2 linked regions of the Pelodiscus sinensis genome follow. Each later gene encodes a partner of the first gene's protein in a complex. Links are inferred from orthologs where the notes say so. Each region holds a gene or a part of one and is shown in the gene's direction. Other genes may lie near its edges.

What was found.
Region 2: the proteins of RANGAP1 (region 1) and SENP2 are in contact, whole or in part, in a crystal structure (PDB 2IO3), measured with the Homo sapiens proteins. The link is inferred for Pelodiscus sinensis from reciprocal best matches to the Homo sapiens genes RANGAP1 and SENP2. Residues at the interface, in NP_001265580.1 of Homo sapiens: Glu467, Asn508, Thr511, Thr514, Arg515, Val518, His519, Leu523, Lys524, Ser525, Glu526, Asp527, Val529; in NP_067640.2 of Homo sapiens: Tyr408, His409, Trp410, Val477, His478, Asp495, Met497, Gly498, Gln499, Lys500, Pro536, His537, Gln541, Gln542, Asn544, Gly545.

The regions. Positions count from the first base shown.
Region 1 is NC_134711.1:89,277,677-89,286,881, forward strand, and holds the start of RANGAP1 (ran GTPase-activating protein 1), read left to right. Parts: upstream 1-5,365; 5' UTR 5,366-5,501; intron 5,502-6,155; exon of another isoform or gene 6,156-6,177; intron 6,178-6,262; exon of another isoform or gene 6,263-6,393; intron 6,394-9,205. UniProt on the Homo sapiens protein: GTPase activator for RAN. Converts cytoplasmic GTP-bound RAN to GDP-bound RAN, which is essential for RAN-mediated nuclear import and export. Mediates dissociation of cargo from nuclear export complexes containing XPO1, RAN and RANBP2 after nuclear export.
Region 2 is NC_134720.1:3,562,759-3,572,131, reverse strand, and holds the start of SENP2 (sentrin-specific protease 2), read left to right. Parts: upstream 1-5,484; 5' UTR 5,485-5,542; coding exon 5,543-5,643; intron 5,644-5,697; exon of another isoform or gene 5,698-5,940; intron 5,941-9,373. UniProt on the Homo sapiens protein: Protease that catalyzes two essential functions in the SUMO pathway.

The DNA.
Region 1 (9,205 bases):
AGGCAGTCCTCGATTTTCTAGTGAATGACACAACATATCTGAATTGATACCCCAATTCAACTTATGACTTTGTTTTTGACTTTTACGATGCTTGGTCCCACAATGGAGTGGATTGCAGTTCCTAGCTATGACGTTTCAACTTATGATGCAATTTTCAGGAACCAAATGTGCTGTAAATCTTAGGATTGCCAGTATTTGTTTAAAGTTGGTAACAAGTCTTTTTAAGATAATTAGCTTTTGCTGAATCCAAATATGGTTATTAGCATGCTGTAAATATGTATGTATGTATAAAGGTCTCTACAAAGGGAACAAAGGTGGATCTTAATGGGCTGTAGGATGTAATTAAAGTCATCCACTAATGTGCACAACTTTTTAATAGAACTATTGAATTTCAATGTCACAAGAGGCACTGGAAATATTGTAATATGTTACACAATCATGAAACAGCATGTTTAGCTGGCTCTTATAATTGCAGCACAGGCAACATGAAACATAAGTATGTACTTTGATTTAACTATCAGGAATCCAACACAATCTTGAAAACACTCATTTTTAAAATAAGTGAAAACATTTTCTTTACTAAACATGGAGATAACATTTTAATGCATACAAGTTAAGCACGTTAATATTGTACTATTTCAAGAAAACTTGGACCACAAGGGCAGATTGAATTAATGTCTTATTTGGTCATTTACTGTGACATACAGGCAGTCCCCAAGTTACGCGGATCCGACTTATGTCGGATCCGCAGATACAAACAGGGATTTTCTCGCCCCGGAGGACTGGAGCGGCGGGACGCCTGGTCCCGCCGCCCGCCTCCTCCGGGGCGAGAAAAGCTGCTCCCCATCTCCCTGGTCTGCTGCAGGAGCCAGCAGACCAGGGAGACGGGGAGCAAAGCGGCGCAGGACCCGGGGCCAGACCCGCAGCGCTTCCAGCTGATCTGGAAGCGGCCGCGGGTCCGGCCCCGGGTCCTCCGCCGCTTTGCTCAGCGTCTCCCTGGTCTGCAGCCGAGGAGCAGCTGCGCTACTGGACCAACCCAGCAGCACCCGAGCTGCTCTGCCCCAGGCGTCCCCAAGTTAGCCGCTGCTGAAACTGACCAGCGGCTGACTACAGGAAGCCCGAGGCAGAGTTGCTCTGCCCCGGGCTTCCTGGAATCAGCTGCTGATCAGTTGCAGCAGCAGCTGACTTGGGGACCCTGGGGTTCTTAAGTTGAATCTGTATGTAAGTCAGAACTGGTGTCCAGATTCAGCGGCTGAATCTGGATGCCAGTTCCGACTTACATACAGATTCAACTTAAGAACAAACCTACAGTCCCTATCTTGTACGTAACCCGGGGACTGCCTGTATTACATATTTGTTAATACTGGCCTTAAAACACTGAGGAACAGGTGCCTCCACACAATCTTGTTCCAGTGCTCTACATTTGCTATAAAAACAAGTCATTGCTGATTTACATACCGGCTGCGTCTAGACTGGCAAGTTTTTCTGCAAAAGCAGAAAACTTGCCAGCTGTCTACACTGGCCGCTTGAATTTCTGCAAGAACACCGACGATCTCATGTAAGATTGTCAGTGTTCTTGTGGAAATACTATGCTGCTCCCATTTGGGCAAAAGCCCTCTTGCGTAAATGCTTTTGACAGCAACTATAGCACCAGATCCTTGTTCTCCTATTTCCAAAGCACTCTATTTGGAAGAGGAAGTACTAGATTTGGGCAGTGGGTCTGTTTCCAAACTAGTGCTTAATAACAATCTCTATGTGGAAGAAAAGAGCGCCATCTGTTGGAAGTACAGGAGCTTCAGGGGGTAGCCGAGTTTGTCTGTTACAGAAAAAAAACAGCAAGCAAATGGTCTGGGAGCACTCTATAGACTAACAAAACATGTAGATGGTATCATGAGCTTCTGTGGGCACAGCCCACTTCTTCAGATGACCAGAGTTATGATTAGAGGATAAGGAAACTCAAAATAAATAGGAGAAGGGAAGGGGGGGGGGGGAAAGATGTTCTGTTGCCCACCCTCCTACCTCTGTGCATAAAGTATAGGGAGAAAGGGTGCTAAACCTGAGTAGATAAAGATCAATGTCTGTGGATAGATAAGGCAGGAAGGATACCATTCAGAAAGTAGTTAGCACCTTCATTGATAAAGTATAGTTACTGATAACCACAAGTACGTGAACAAAATGACATGTGCTTTGTCAGTGGTGACCTCTGGCAAGCTATACATCTTACAAAGAAACCTGTACTTTTAATCTTTTCTGAGTCCAGCTCACTCTGTCCAATGTGTGTTAAAGCCATGTAATCTTTTTGCTTGGTCCAGCAATAAAAGAGGTAGCATCACACCCACTCAGGGCATGAGATGGGAGCAGAGTTTCCAAAAGTGGCCCCATATTGTAGTTGCTCACACACAAATGGCATGACTAGGAAAGTACTTTGGTTCCTTTGATGTGCTAGTTTTCATCCAAAGTTGTCTATATGCCATTTTGCTATAGCGAGCCAGCAAAAGATTAAGCACATCAGAGCTCCTGACTTTAGCAACCACACTGATGGCATTCACCATGGAGACATTGTAAAATAATTCTTATGTCTGTTTCTTCCTGATGAGTACACAGCTGGTGGGGGTCAACTATTGCTGTCCAGCACCAGACTTCAGCTTCAGCCTGAAAACCACAAGTCAGAACAAAGATTTTATCTGGTGGTGCTTGTGTAATTAGTCGCTCAGATAAAAATATTGCAAGGTTTTCCTTACAGTTTCTCCCAATAGGGATAATTTTGGGTGGGCAATGGACACCAGCTGTCAGTATTGTTTTTGTGCTTGTTCTCAGACTGCCATTTCTCTATCCTAATGCCAAAAGGACAAGCATTAAATCATCTTTCAAAATTCGTTGCAAATTCACAGCCCAGATGGCTTCATACACTGTGATTAGTCACTGAAGAATATATTTCTGCCTCTCCTTCATGGTTGAGGCCTTTCCTTTGACCTCTTTCTCTGCCTCAAATATCATGGAAAAAGTTGCAGCATTATTCTTTGGCACTGGATCATGAACATATACACATCCAGGCTCCCCTTCTTGTGTCATAATCAGAGCTCCCTGTAAGCTATGTGCTTATGTGATTGCTCAGGAGAGATTCAAATGCTGCTCAGCTGAACAGCAGATCCACAGAGCTAGGCTACATCTACACTGCAGGCTTCTTGCGCAAGAACTGTTTTGCGCAAGAGTGTCCATTTTTGCACCAAAAATTAAAAATCCTGTGCCAAAAAATAAAAATTCGACATACAATATTTTAAAATTCTCCAAATTGTATTTGTTAAAATAACACCATATAATTATGCCAGTTTCAATTATTTGGTAATTTATTTCAAAATATCTGTCAGCAAATATGTCTCTAATAATATGGACAAAAAAAAGGATTTTTTCAAACAAATAGATTCCTGAAATTCCTAGGCAAATTAATAAGGAACTTCAAGTAATTCATTTAAGCTACAATATAGAAAGGTATTTCCCACACCCCTCAGAAGCAATCTAAAGGCTTTGCGGAATCATAAGTAGCATAGGAGGTGAGGGAGATGGAAGGAGCCTGGGAGTGAACTTGGAGGGTTATTGGTGTGGATGGAAGAAGTATAAAACTGTTTTTTTGGGGGAAAGTATGTTAGGGAGAATCCCACATGCAGATGCTGACTGACCCCATCCCATTCAATCAGGCACATCTGCCCCATTCCTCCCCCAGTTCCCATGCATCCCTACAGTCCCATCACCCCCATCCTCATCTGTCCTGGCAGTCCTCTACCTCCAGTCACCATGTAACCCTACAGTCCCTTGCTAATCAACTCCTAACTCAATGTTGTCACCCCATAAGCACCTATGCCCTTGCCCCAGTCTGTGATTTCTCTCTCCCCCCATATTCTGTGTTTCCTAATCTGTCTCCATGAGCAGGATGGTGTAATGAATGTAGCAGGGCACGCCCACTAGTGCAGAATTCCTCCAGGAGTACACCATTCAGTTTTGCCAGATGGACTCAATCCTGTCAATGGCTTTTCTGTACTTGACATCTTGTAGTTTCTTTCTTTTACACAATCCTTGTTCACCTATTTCATGCACATATTATTTACTTCAAATACTTCACAAATAACAGAGACTGTAGAAAACCAGTAGATATCTCTTGAGCCTTACTACTGGTTCCATATCTACTTACAACCATAATCAATAAGTATCATAACACATCACCTCATCTAACCACTCTTTCTTGATGTCTTTGTAAAAAAAATGCCATTAGTATAATTTCTGTGTTAATTCTATTTTAACAACAAACCATTGCATGCTATAAAACAAATATAAAGTGTGCACAGAAGTGAGAAAATGCTTTCACATATTACAAGAAAAATAATCTGATTTACTTATAACATTGTATGAACAAATACTATCAAAAGTTGAGCATCAGGGTGTAGTAAGTCTTAAAACCAGTCTGACTTCTCATTTCTGTTCTTTATAGACTGATAAGAGAGTATGTCATGTTGAAGTTGCCATGTCAGTCCCACGATATTAGAGAGATAAGGTAAGTGAGGTAATAATGTCTTTTACTAGACCAACTCCAGTTGGTGAGAGAAATAAGCTTTTGAGCTACATACACAGAGCTCTTCTTCAGATCTGAGGAAGTGGGTCTGGCCCACGAAAGCTCATCATCTAATAAACCATCTTGTTAGTCTTTAAAGTGCTACATAGTCCTGTATTTTGTTTCAGCTACACCAGACTAACACGGCTACATTTCTATCACTGTGTTCACTTGAACACTTCTCTCTTTTAACAACAGACATTGGTCTGTTAGTGAGTCACACTCATCTCTCTAATGACTTACATCAAAGCATTTAATTGCATCCCAACACGTCCATGCACATGCTGTGTGTGTACCAAATGTTTCTGGTAAACTTTGACAGTCGCATGGAGCTGCAGGACTTGCAAGTTCAAAGCTTGGCAACCATCCCAGCTGTGGAACCGGCAGGTTCAAACGAGAATGGAAATAGCTGCTACCCACTCTGAACGAAAACCGCAACAAAACTCCTAGTGACGCACAGCCAGGTACCCACCAGGCCTCTGACCTCCGATTCTGCCTCGCCTGCCCGCCCTCTCCCTTTTAATAGCCGGCGCTGCGCGAGGCATCCTGGGAACGATAGTCCACGCCGCGTTCTTCTCTTGTGGAACTACAATTCCCGGCCTGCTCCACGGCACAGCGAGCCCCCAGCGCAATGCATCACGGGGCTCGTAGTCTTCTCTGCCGCGCATCAAACCTCACCAGGGTCTCCAAGGAAACCACAATTCCCAGCATGCCGCACGGGGAAGAACTGTCGCCTACGCCACCGCGACGGGCGGGCGAGAGGCCTCGCGAGCCAATCAGAGCCGGGAAAACAAAACTGCCGGGTTTGAAATCCTCCGCCTCCCCCTGCGCCATCGGCCTCGGCGTGACAGGCTGGAGCCGGGCGCGTCCGACCCACACCCGACGGCAGCGCGCGCAGGTGAGCGGGCCCAGGGGCCGCGCGGCTTGTTTACTGTAGGGTCGCCAGGAAGTTGGCGGGGTCGGGGAGCGGGATCCTGACGCTTCTCCAGCCCGGTGTGCGCGGGGCCCCTCCTGGCGCAGCGCCCCGGCGGGGTTTCCCAGCGCCTGTGCGGGGGCGTCCCCTCCTGGCTGCCCCCCGACTCGGGGGCGGGGTGGGGGGTGCCCCGGGCGTCTGGTCCTGCGCCCCCTGCCCGCCGCGCCACGCGCTCCGGGAGCCGAGTCCCGCCCGGTTGCTGCGTGGCCCGGCCCAAGCCGCGCTGCTCTTGTGGCTGCCGCTTCCCCTGGGCTCGGCCGCCGGGCCGGGCGGGTGAGTGACTCTGTGCTGCGCAGCCAGGCTTGTTGCATCACTGAGGCTCGCTGGGGCAGCCTCACCTGGCGCGTCGCGCCCTGAGTACATCGCCAGGGAGCCGTAACCGCAGAGAGCAGCCGCGGAAGTCGGGGGGAGGGCGGTCGGAGTGTGTCACCGAGCAAGCAGCTGGGCAAACAGCTTCCTGTGGTGCTGTAGCCTTGTGGGTCCCAGGATATTAGAGAGACGGAGGAGTGTGTGTGTGTGGTAATAGCTATTATCAGATCATCTATTAGTGTGGCTATCTCTGCACTACAGATTGCTTCAGTATAACTTATGTCATTCTGGGGTGAGTGTGATGGGTTGGGCAACCCTCCACCTTGGGTCTGTCGCCTGAGGTGCTGAGACATCACAAAGCCTGTTTTCCCTTACAGCTGTGAGCCTATGTTGTTGAGCCTGTCTCTTCAGCCTGTTGCAGCACAGGGACAGAGCCACCCCCCCCCCCCCCCCAAATCTGCAGACTCAGGAAGCAGTCCAATGTGAGACCATTCCCAGCACTAGGGATGTAAGTGACTAGTCAGCTACCCGATAAGCATATGCTTATTGGGAAGTAGAGTAGTGATGTGAACCTGTAGTTGCTGTAATGTAGACATATCCTGAGAGAGAAAAACTTCTGAGATCACTTAGGCCACTCATTAGTCAAAACTGAGCTAAGAATTAGGGATGTAGAGGGTTAATCAATTACCTGGCAAGCATTGCCCTACCGGTATATTTACCGGGGTAACCAGTTGACTGGCCAGAGCAGCCCCTGCCCACGGCGCACCAGGCTGGGGCCTGGCTAGGCTGAAGCAGCCTCATGATGCAGTGTAGCAGGCCATCCGAGGGGCTGCTCAAGTGTCCCCCTCTTTCTCCAACCCACCCCCCCCGCCTGCAACATATAGTCAACCAGTTAACATATAGTTTAATTGGTTAACATTTTAAATGGGATTTTACAGCCCTACTAAGAATCCACAAAAGCCTCGTGTGCAATTACCAAATGAAGAAGAATTATCTAATATAGTATGAAACATATTCAAGCAAGATCAGAAGACTGAGTCAATCAAAGTAGGGGTGTAATAGTACAGGCAGTCCCCGGGTTACGCGGCTCCGACTTATGTCGGATCTGTACTTACGAACGGGGCTTTTCTCGCCCCGGAGGGCGCGGGCGGCGGGACTGCCCAGACGCGCCTCGGTCCCACTGCCTGCGTCTCCCTGGTCTGCTGGGGGGGGGATGCAGCTAGTGCGCCCTCCCCCCCCCCCCAGCAGAGCAGGCTTTTCTTGCGGACGCCTGTGGTAGAGCAGCTGGGGCCCTGCTGGTTGGTCCCGCAGCGCCGCTCCTCGGCGCTACTGGACCAATCCAGCAGCACCCCAGCTGCTCTGCCCCAGGCGTCCCCAAGTCAGCCGCTGCTGAAACTGACCAGCAGCGGCTGACTACAGGAAGCCAGAGGCAGAGTTGCTTTGCCCTGGGCTTCCTGGAATCAGCTGCTGATCAGTTTCAGCAGCAGCTGACTTGGGGACACCTGGGGTAGAGCAGCTGGGGTGCTGCCGGTTTGGTCCCCGCAGCGCCGAGGTGCGGCGCTGCAGGGACCTACCCGGCAGCGCCCCAGTTGCTCTGTCCGAGGCATCCAGATTCAGCTGCTGTTGAAACTGATCAGTGGCTGATTCCAGGAAGCCCGGGGCAGAGAAACTGTGCCTCAGGCTTCCTGTAGTCAGCTGCTGGTCAGTTTCAGCAGTGGCTGAATCTGGACGCCAGTTCCGACTTATGTACAAATTCAACTTAAGAACAAACCTACATCCCTATCTTGTTCGTAACCTGGGGACTGCCTGTATGGTCGATTAACCAATAAGCAAAAGCTTATAGGTTAATGCTATAGACTACATGCGTTTCCCTCCCCCCACACTTACCAGTACATGTTTTAGCAGACTTACCAGCAGCTCAGCTCAGTTCTGGCTCACACCGGGTCCAGTACCTGCTCCTGCTGCGGTTCTTTATTTGAAGTGTATTAGGAGCCAGGCAAGCAAGCAGCCTGGTTCAGTTCCATCTTGTGCTGAGTCCAGGAACTCAGACCCACCTTAGACAGGGGTTGCTGCCACCCCACGCTGCTGCCTCTTTATTAGAGGCAGCAGCACTGGACAACAGGCAGCTGGACTTCAAGGTGAACTGGTTTTTAAACTGGCTCCCCTCATGGACCAGCTCCTGCCTGACACCCTGCACTGCTGCCTCTGATACAGTGACTGCCAGCCCCACCCCTGGGGACTATAGAATAATCAACTAACCAATAAGAATTCATGAGGTTACTCAACTATTCAATTAACCAATATTTAACATCCCTAAATCCAAGAGAATCTTAGACTATTCCACTGCCTGACGTGGTAAATTTTGCACAGTCCATCAGGAAAAAAGGTGGAAAATCGCCACGTTGCTTGTTACAGTTACAGCTAGACTGGATAAGTACCAGAGATGTGATAATGTAAATATGTAAAAGCCTGGGTTTATCAGTAAAACTTCACGATTACACATAACCCTCCCCGGGTGCTGCTTCTGTATCCGTCGAGCCGTCCTTCCCCTCCCTGGTATAAATGTGTACCCATACACATTTACCAAAATAAATACATTTTAACTTCCCTAGTAAATAATAATGTACAATGTAGTTGCTTTTGTATTCTGCACCCATGTAGTCTCTGTGATAGGTATTCAGCAACTAAATCTGATAGTAAAACGATGCTGATACGTGAGTACCGGGTGGGTTGCAAGGGAAAAGGAAAAAAAAATGTGTTTAACTCTGGCTCAGAGGAAGAGCAACTCATAGGATTGGACAATGGCTTGTGTTGAAAAGCCATGGTTTTTGGGGAGAAAGGAATACTGTATTGTAAACAGAGTAATGTCTTAAGGCAGCGTTTCCCAAACTATGGTCCGCGGCCCGAAAAAAATGCCGGGCCTCAGCGTGCCTGGTGGCTGCTGGCCCTTAGGCTGATTGACCCATCTGGTTGAATCGGGCCCCGCGCCCCTGCACCCGGAAGTGCCGGCGAGTTAAGAGCCGGGCCCTGCTCCAGCGCTATGTGGAGCTGGGTCTCTCCCCGGCTCTGCCTGGAGCGGGCCCCGCCCCTGCGCGTCCTCTCCGGCCCCGCCCCCAGAGCGTCCCATTGGCCCCGGATGTCTCTGCCGCGCGCGGCTCCTCCTTGCCGCCCATGCGCGGCGTTGCACGTGGGTGGGGAGGACGTGACGTCACGGCCCGGGGTTTTGAAACCCGCGCGAGGCATGTGGTGGGGCCTGGCTGGCTCCGGGTTTGGCCTCCGGGGTCTGAGCGCGGACCCTGGCCCTGCAATGGGGAAAGAGA
Region 2 (9,373 bases), on another chromosome or scaffold:
AGTCTTTAAAGTGCTACATTGTCCTGCATTTTGTGATGATTAAGATTTTCATTATGCCTCATCATATCTGACTTGGGTGTCTAGGTGGAGGCCCAAGCTGCATTGCTATAAGGGAACTGGCCCTTAGCCTCTGTGTAACCAGTAAGGTATTATCATACCTGCTTTGTGCTGGGTTGGTATGCCTAAGTATTGGAATATCCACTAGCTCTGGGAGATTGCCTGATCCATTCTTTACAGTTTGCCCTAATTGAATAACCTAAGAATGACTGCTCAGGGACCCCGATCACAACAAGGTTTGCCTTGGGAGGTATCATGTGAAAACTCACAATCTGATGATCGTTATTGTCCTGGTCAAATATATGCAGCACCGTTGTATGTAAAGTTATGAATTCCACTGTATGGTGCTATGTTCCAAGCCTGGGGAGAGGCAAAGCAGTTCCTCAGAGATAAGAGCAACCTGCAACTCAGCCAGGTGTAAACAAGATCAAATGGGCCATAACCTGCAAAGTGGCTATTCATTGGCAGGAAAAGGGACGTGAGTGAAAAAAATTGACATCTTAACAAGGGAACAGCATGATATTTCCATCTTCACAGTCTATCTATCGCCACTGTCCCAGCTAGAGATGCTTCTGAAAGGAAGGAGAGGACTATAAAACGGAGGGGCAGACCCCCCAAAGGATCCCCACTCCACTTCAGTCTTGATTTTTCACACGTCTGGTCACTCTAGGTGAATGACATGGAGCTGCAGAAGGCACAGACGTGTGGGCTGAGGGCAAGACACAGAATTAATGAATTAGAATGTCAGGGTTTGGGGGAGAAGATGGAAGCTCCGGGCCAGGGGGTAGGAGCGAGAGCCTCCACAGGAGGCAGAATGCCTGAGAGAGCTGGCAGCATGACAACTATCACACGCACTCAAAGGAGAGCAGGCAGCATGACACTGTCTCGGACACACGCTCAGGGGGAAATGAAGTTCGAAAAGGAAAAGACAGACTTAAGACCACACTTTAATCTTTGTAAATCCAGGTCTGGCTTTGAGGGTCAATGTTGTGATTAATGAGGGGCTCTGAGGGTGTGTCTAAACTACATGGCTCCGTCGATGGAGCCATGTAGATTAGGCTGATCGGCAGAGGGAAATGAAGCCGCGATTTAAATAATCGTGGCTTCATTTAAATTTAAATGGCTGCCGTGCTGAGCCGACAAACAGCTGATCAGCTGTTTGTCGGCTCAGCACGCTAGTCTGGACGCTCCCGCGCCAACCTGAAAGCCCTTTATCGACCTCCCCATTATGCCTCGTAGGATGAGATTTACTGGGGAGGTTGATAAAGGGCTTTCATGTCGGCAGGGGAGCGTCCAGACTGCCCCGATCTGCCGACAAGCAGCTGATCGGCAGAGCAGGGCAGCCATTTAAATTTAAATGAAGCCGCGATTATTTAAATCGCGGCTTCATTTCCCTTTGCCGAACAAACAAATCTACATGGCTCCATCGACGGAGCCATGTAGTCTCGACGTACCCTGAGTGTAGGGCTACGTCTACACTGGTGGCTTCTTGCACAAGAACAGCTGTTCTTGTGCAAAAACTTGCTGGGTGTCTACACTGCACGTGCGTTCTTGTGCAAGTAAATTTACAGACTCGAGTCAGAAAACAGGGCTTCTTCTGGAAGAGTTATTCCTCTCCCCACGAGGAATAAGCCCTCTTGCGCAAGAGGGCAGTGTAGACAGGCAACATGAATTTCTTGCGCAAGAAACCCCTGTGGCTAAAATGGCCATCAGAGCTTTCTTGCGCAAGAGAATGTCCACACTGCCATAGATGCTCTTGTGCAAAAGCACATGCCAGTGTAGACATGCTCTTGTGGAAGACTTTTTGCACAAGAACTCTTCAACATAACAGTTCTTGTGCAAGAAGCTGCCAGTGTAGACGTAACCCTTAGGAGTTTGAACTTTTGGGGCAGGCTATGCAGAGGATAGGAGCTAAGCAGAGAATATTCAGAGCAGAGTCCTGAACAAGGGGAAAATCTGCGTGTCCTGAGTGACTGAGCAATATTTGTTCCTGAGGTTTTTAACCTTATAGTTGTTTATATTTTTTGGCCTCTTATTTTAGCCCTTCAGTTTGCTGACTTTTCAGTTGGCTTGGTCAGGTTCAAAGGTCAATAGGGGCTTCACCTGACATGGCTGACTGAAAAGACAATAACAGCACTGAGGAAATGAGATCAAAAGCCTGTCAGAGGTTGTCCGTATCGCCTGGCACTCCCCGCTTCCCATGAGCAGGGATTTGAAAGCTGGAAAAGAAGGGATTAACTGAATTAAGGCTGCCTGGCTGCTGGATGGTGAACACAGCTGATTGAAAGGGAATAGAGGCTGCTACTTTGGAGGGAGGGAGGAGAGGCTTTATAAGAGGTTCAGCTGCTTGGGAGGAGCCTTGGCCACAGGCCTTCTGTAGAAGTGAGTTTGGAAGCAGGTGCTGTGAGTAATTGCAGGGGTGGGAAGTAAGGTGGCTGAGCAGAGCAGAAGCCAGGCGTGGTGACTCAGCTGCCAAACTTACAGGGTCTCTTGGGTGATGCTCCATGCAAACTATGTAAGGAACTGATTTGTGTAGAACCACACATTTGTAATATCAACAGTGGGGTAATGTAGGGCAAGCTTGCAGCAGCTGTGACCCTGCCAGAGAATTTCATCTTTCTTCCCCTTGGTAGGTATGGGAAAGGGCTTACATTATGATGGCTGGGGTCATCTACTCTTCATGGCCTCTCTGCTGTATCGGTCAAGTGGTGGGAAATGTATGTGTGGGTGGCAGGGAGGGTTCTATGCTGCAGGATCTCCCTTCATCTCTGGCCAGCAAACAGCCAGTTGAGGAGAACATTTTATAATCCCTCCTGAACTGGGCTAGATTCAAATTGGTGTCCTACAGGGGAAAAGTTCTGTGGGTCATTAGCAATATTTCATGAGCATTTCCTAGCTTGAGTGAGTGACTTTACAACCATTTGTTGGTTTTTAATTTTTTTTTCTGTTACAGACTAACACAGCTACCCCTGTGAACCTTCCTAAGTTCTTTTAATGCAGCTTGTCAATGTAATGCCTTGGCTTTTCTTGCAGTGAAAAGGTAAAAAAAATCCATTAAGTGCAACTGTAATCCCACCACCCCCAGCATGTTGGTTTGGAGCCACACCTGTTAACGTTGATGGCTGTTCCTTGGGCTACCAGGTTTTGCTGGCTGGGAGCAGGAGGCTGTTCTTATGTGAGCCTGCATTAGAGGAGGATGCATAATCAGCTGTTTCAGTGTGTTATGTAAGCATGAATAACCCCAATTTACAGACTGCACAGTTAAGGAAAAAGATATGCCCTGTGCTTTCTGAGAGGAAATTTGGGTTGGCTGTATTCATATTCCTGGGTTCTATCTCCAGCTTAGGTAATCTCTTTGAGGGATATGTTTAGTAACAACTGGGAAGGAGAGCCACTTATCAACAGTCAGTGGAAATGAAATTGGAACACATGCATGCCTGCCTTCCAATATGATGCACATCCTCCTACGCCAAAGGCTGTTTTAATAGGGAAGCAACACCAGGATCATCGTCCATTCTCTTATTGGGCATATGAATTCTGTGATCCAATGAAGTGAGACGTTAGGGCAATACAGACAGGAAGATCAATGGCGTTGAGGTATTTTAATATGGTGACAGAGAGCTGTGATGGTAAGTTACAATCTTCAGCAGTGTAGAACTTGTCACAAATCGGAATGGATATTCCTAAGGACAGAAAAATGCATCTCTCCTTGCCAGACCTCTCTGTCCTGCTGCATACCAGCTCTTGTCCACTTTTCATACAGAAAGTGTCAGGCGCTTACCAGATCAGGCTGAAAGATCACTCCTTAAGGCTAGTATATTCCATTGCTCAGCCATGAGCAGGAGACCTGATTGTACGCATCACTGGTATGCTACACCCTGTAGTGGAGAACTGCTAAATTAGCTGCTTGTATATTGCAAAGTAGACTGATGACGCACAGGGACTCTTGCTGCACCTCTTGTCCGTCATGTCAGCTGTGCGATAGAGAAGCCTTGTTACTTAAGCACCTCTAAAGGTCTCAGGAAAACAGAGAAGCAACAGCCCATCCATGGGTAAATTTGTAATGTTCAGAAAAGGTATTTTATTTTTATTTTTGGCCCGCCCCACGTCCATATAATGAAAAGAACTTGTACTTTCAGATTTTGAGGGCTATGCCTAATTGAATAGTAGAAGTTGTTTTGAAAAGGTGAACACATTTTACATAGCTTTTGAAATGGGCTTCAAAACTAATTTTTGAAATTGTGAGTTGAGTGAGGTAATCTTTTCTTGGACCAATGTTTGCTTGGCAGAGGGAGATGAGGTTAGGATCTCACACACAGCTCTTCCTCAGGTCATTTCTGAAGTGTTTAACATTTTTTGTCCTGCTTAGTCACAAAACTGAAGACTTTACCAAGTACCTTCTGGTATGGTGCCCATCAACAATTTGTGTGTATTGCTCAGGTGTGGAACCACCATGAGCTCTGTAAATAACAAACATGCTAGGGAGGGTGAGGCATGAACCCAAGCAATGGGCAGCACTCCAGCACTAGAAGGTAAAATGTTGAAGGTGAGCAGTAGCTGGAAACCAGGAATGAATCTTTGCTGTTGAAATTGATGGAGGAAACAGCTGGTGGAAAACAGAGGGGTGGCTTTTTTTTGGGGGGGGGGAAGAGGAGAAAGTGTGAAGTGGTGTGTTGGTGGGAGAGGGCATTGCCAGGGTAAGGAGTGGGGGTGTGTGTGCTGTGAGGGAGGGATGTGTTTGTGGTGGGTGTGCTGGTCACGGGAGGAGGGGTGTTTGGGGGGGTGCTGGTCAAGGGAGGAGGGGTGTTTGTGGGGGTGGAGGAGGGGCTGGTCAGTGGGGGAGGGGTGTGTGGGGGTGGAGGGGGTGCTGGTCAGTGGGGGAGGGGTGTTGGGGGGGTGCTGGTCAGTGGGGGAGGGGTGTTGGGGGGGTGCTGGTCAGTGGGGGAGGGGTGTGTGTGGGGGTAGAGGGGGCTGGTCAGTGGGGGAGGGGTGTGTGGGGGTGGAGGGGGTGCTGGTCAGTGGGGGAGGGGTGTGTGGGGGGGTGTGCTGGTCAGTGGGGGAGGGGTGTGTGGGGGTGTGCTGGTCAGTGGGGGAGGGGTGTGTGTGGGGGTTGCGGGTGGTGTGCTGGTCAGTGGGGGAGGGGTGTGTGTGTGGGGGTGCTGATGGGGGTTGTGGCACTAGCGAGTGGCAGGGAGCCGGGTCGGTGCCTGGCGGGGGCGGAGCCCGGCTCGCCCCGCCCACCGCCATGAGACGCGCGCTCCTCCGCCAAAGGTGATGCAGAGACGCGCGCGGCGCTCGGTCCCCGCCCCTCCCTTTTCTCCCCCAATCAGGACCGAACAAGCCTCTGGCCAATGAGGAAGGGGTCGGGCGGGTCCCCGCGCGCAGGTAGCGCCGATTCGCCCCGCGCCTGCTGGAGAGGGCTCCGTCCGTGACGTCACGCCGTCGCGCGAAACAGCCGCACTTCCGCCTCCGGTGGCCGAGGCCTATGTACCAATGGCTGGTGGAGGCGCTGCGCTCCCTGCTCTTCCCCAGCGCCCCCCGGCGGGACGCGCCGCCCCCCGCCCCGCGGAAGAGACGGCACCACAGGTCAGCCCGCCCCGCGGCGCGCGGTGCTCGGCCGCCGGGGCCCCGATCCTGAGCGGCGGCGCTCGCGTGCCGGAGCCGGGCGCTGCTGGGGGGCCTGGCCGCGTTCGGCCTCAGGCACCGCGCGGGCTCGGCTTCCCCGGCGGCTCCGCGCTCCCCGGGGCTGGGGCGAGCGGCTCGGCCCGCGCTGGGTGTCTCCTCCTCCTGGGGCCTGCGAGCGCCCCGCTCCACTGCCCTTCGGTCCAGAGGGCTCACGGTTTGGGGCAGAGAGGCGTGTCGCGCTGGCCAGTCGCTCCCTGGGTGAGCGCTGCTAACGGGGGGATCCCCACAGTCGGAGAACTTGGTAAAAACGTTTTTCCGGAGCCTGAAGCCACCAGAGACTCGCTGTAGTTTTGTTCTGGCGCTTGTTCAGGTCAAGCCTCAGGATTTTTGTTTTGGGGCATGTAGTTCTGGGTGCTGTTTCATACAGAATATGAGCTTAATGGGCCAATAGATGAGGTTGGGTAGAAGTGGTAGATTAGTTGTGCTGTCCAAGATTCGATTTGTGAGTTGCTTATTTTGGAATATTTTGCAGTTAAATCTATTAAAAAGAATACTTCATGTGAAACCTCAATAGTTTTAAACTAAAGCCGGTGTTCCCACATTTAAGAACTTGAACAGGAATTCTCTGTTGCCTCCTGAAGCAAAATACAGGACAATGTAGCACTTTAAAGACTAACAAGATGGTTTATTAGATGATGAGCTTTCGTGGGCCAGACCCACTTCCTCAGATCAAATAGTGGAAGAAAATAGTCACAACCATATATACCAAAGGATACAATTTAAAAAATGAACACCTATGAAAAGGACAATCAAATTTCAGAACAGAAGGTGGATGGAGAGGGGTGGGGGAAGGTAAATGTCTGTGAACTAATGGTATTAGAGGTGGTGATTGGGGAAGCTATCTTTGTAATGGGTAAGATAGCTAGAGTCTTTGTTGAGACCCCCACATAGAGTGTCGAATTTTAGCATGAATGACAGTTCAGAGGATTCCTTTTCAAGTGCAGCTTTAAAAGGGATTTAAAAGTGCCTCCTGTCGTTCTATACATTATTTTGAAAAGTTTTCACTCCCTCGTTGTTTGTGCGACCCAACAAATAAAAGTAGACACTGATTGTACAGAGGAAACTATGACACTGAATTGCATACAGTGCTGTCAAACACAAATGGTACAGTTGTGAAAGTGTGTGGGTGGAGGGGTGGGGTTGTACATCAGTTATAATCTTAGATTTTAAATGGGAAATGATCTGACGTGAGTTGGAAATTAATGGTGTGACTGACTAAAAGTGTTAGACTGCTGGTCTCAAACTATTTACTTGAGAATTACGTAATATTTGTTCCTCCTTTTTTTTTTTCTGATAAATTTTGGTTGTGGTCTTCCACCTTGATGCTCCTTGATCATCTTTACCCTTCAGAAACATACTTGATTAAACTATTAGTCATCCTCTTTCTACTCCCACTCCTGCAGTGAACCATGAAGAAAATCTGTACAGGAGCTTAAACACTTTGATACCATGCACATAAGGCTAATTATGTAAAAAGTGATGGGCAGTATGAGAAACTGAATTATTGAAGTTAGAGAAACAAAAGACTCTGAGATTCATAGGATGGTATCTAGCACTTCAGTCTGTTTGTTTTAAATCTCACAAGAGGGGACTTCTGAAATAGCAGTGTCAAAAGCTTTCTTTCTGATATTCATACTGAACTTTGTTTAATTTCATCCTATTTATTGCAGTTATATTCTCTTGTACTGCTCATTCTCCTTTTATTTTCAGTTTTCCAGTATCTGAAAGGTTTGAGCAAATCTGCCTGCTTGGGTGTCTTTTGCAGTATTACTTATTTAATAGGGAAGATTAAAGTTTTTTCCCAAGCTTCCTCTAACTTACTGCTTAATCAGTTTTGTGTACTGCTTCCTTCACTTTGTCCTTTTAGCATTACCCTAGGTTCATGGAGGTATACTTAGCTTGCCTATTTATTTTGAGATAAGGTTCCTACTAGACTTCAGAGAACCAACTGGTGCATGAACAGGAGCAAACTATAACTGGGAATATTATTTTATGTTCACTGTTTATACTTGCTCAATAACTTGATTTTCACAGACTTTGCAGATTATTTCATAGCTTGATTAGAAAGTAGGGGCATAACAGGATAATCATTTAAACAGTTAACCGGTAACCCTGGGATTATCGGTTACTGTAAACGGTTACACTCATGTTGTGCTCCCAGGAGCTGGCTGCTGCCCTCCACTGCTGCCTCTGATACAGTGGGAACTTCCCTTCTTTTCTTCCTTGCCACTCTGTCAGTTCCCAGTGCAACAAATGTATCCCTCAACTCAGTTTCATTACCACTAGGTGGTTTCTTCTTCTGCCTTGTCCTCATGATGTTTTTCCACAGATTACCATCCTCTTCTGGCAATTTGCTCTCCAGCTCTTTTTGTTCAGCAGATATCTTTAGATCTTGTGGTGTTGGTACCGATTCATCTTTCCTCTCCTGCATTATACCTAGACATGCCTGTCTGAATTCTGTCATCCCGGTTACATTTCAGTTCCTTGGATATCTTCTCCCATGAGCTGTATCTGGTGACATTTCATACACATAAACAGCTTCTGTCAGATACCTACTCAAGCATAATGTACATACTGTAGCTTCTGTCTGACCACCTTTTTTTCCTCTCTTCTAATGCTATCTCATAGCCATTGTTGTCTTTTATTCTTAGACTGTATTTCTAGAAAAAATAAAGGGGGGGGCAGACCTCCCACAAATTCCAAGAAAACTGCTAGCTGTTCGCTGTCTCAGAGAGACAAATATTTGTTGTGGGCTGTATTTGTTAAATGGTTTTGTTTGTGCATATATAACACTGAAACATGGGCTGCTTATGCCTATCTAGTGTCAAAACACTTGGTTATGTGTCCTTCTCTGGTGGGGCAGCCCACATGTCTGTGTCTAGACTGCATCCCTTTTCCGTAAAAGGGATGTAAATTAGACATATCGCAATTGCAAATGAAGTGGGGATTTAAATCCCCCCCGCTTCATTAGCATAAAAATGGCTGACGCTTTTTTCCGGCTCTGAGCTTTGCCGGAAAAAAGCGCCAGTCTAGACACGGATCTCTCGGAAAATAAAGCCTTTTCCAAAAGATCCCTTATCCCTCATTTTAAGATCCCTTAAAATGAGGGATAAGGGAATCTTAAAATGAGGGATAAGGGATCTTTTGGAAAAGGCTTTATTTTCCGAAAGATCCGCATCTAGACTGGTGCTTTTTTCCGGCAAAGCTCAGAGCCAGAAAAAAGCGGCAGGCTTTTTTATGCTAATGAAGCGGGGGGAGAGGGGCTGGAGGGATTTAAATCCCTGCTTCATTTGCAATTGCGATATGTCTAATTTGCATCCCTTTTCCGTAAAAGTCTAGATACAGCCCATGAGTTTTCTGCTCCTGTCAGCTAATGTACTTAATCATCTAGCTAAAGTGGCAGAGCTCTGTGCTGATGGGTTTAAACCCCAAGGCTTGAAAGAGGAAGTGAGGAAGGGCTTAGTTGCAGGTAATTTATTTTTCTGGGGGTTTTTTTAGTCTCTCTTTTTTTATAAAACCGTGACAAGGAATCTGTTTAGGTTGCAAAGTCAAGCATTAAAAAATTAGAAAACATCATTGCTGGGGGAGGTGTTTTACCAAAAGTCTCTATTAGGTGTTGTCCTCTCTTCTA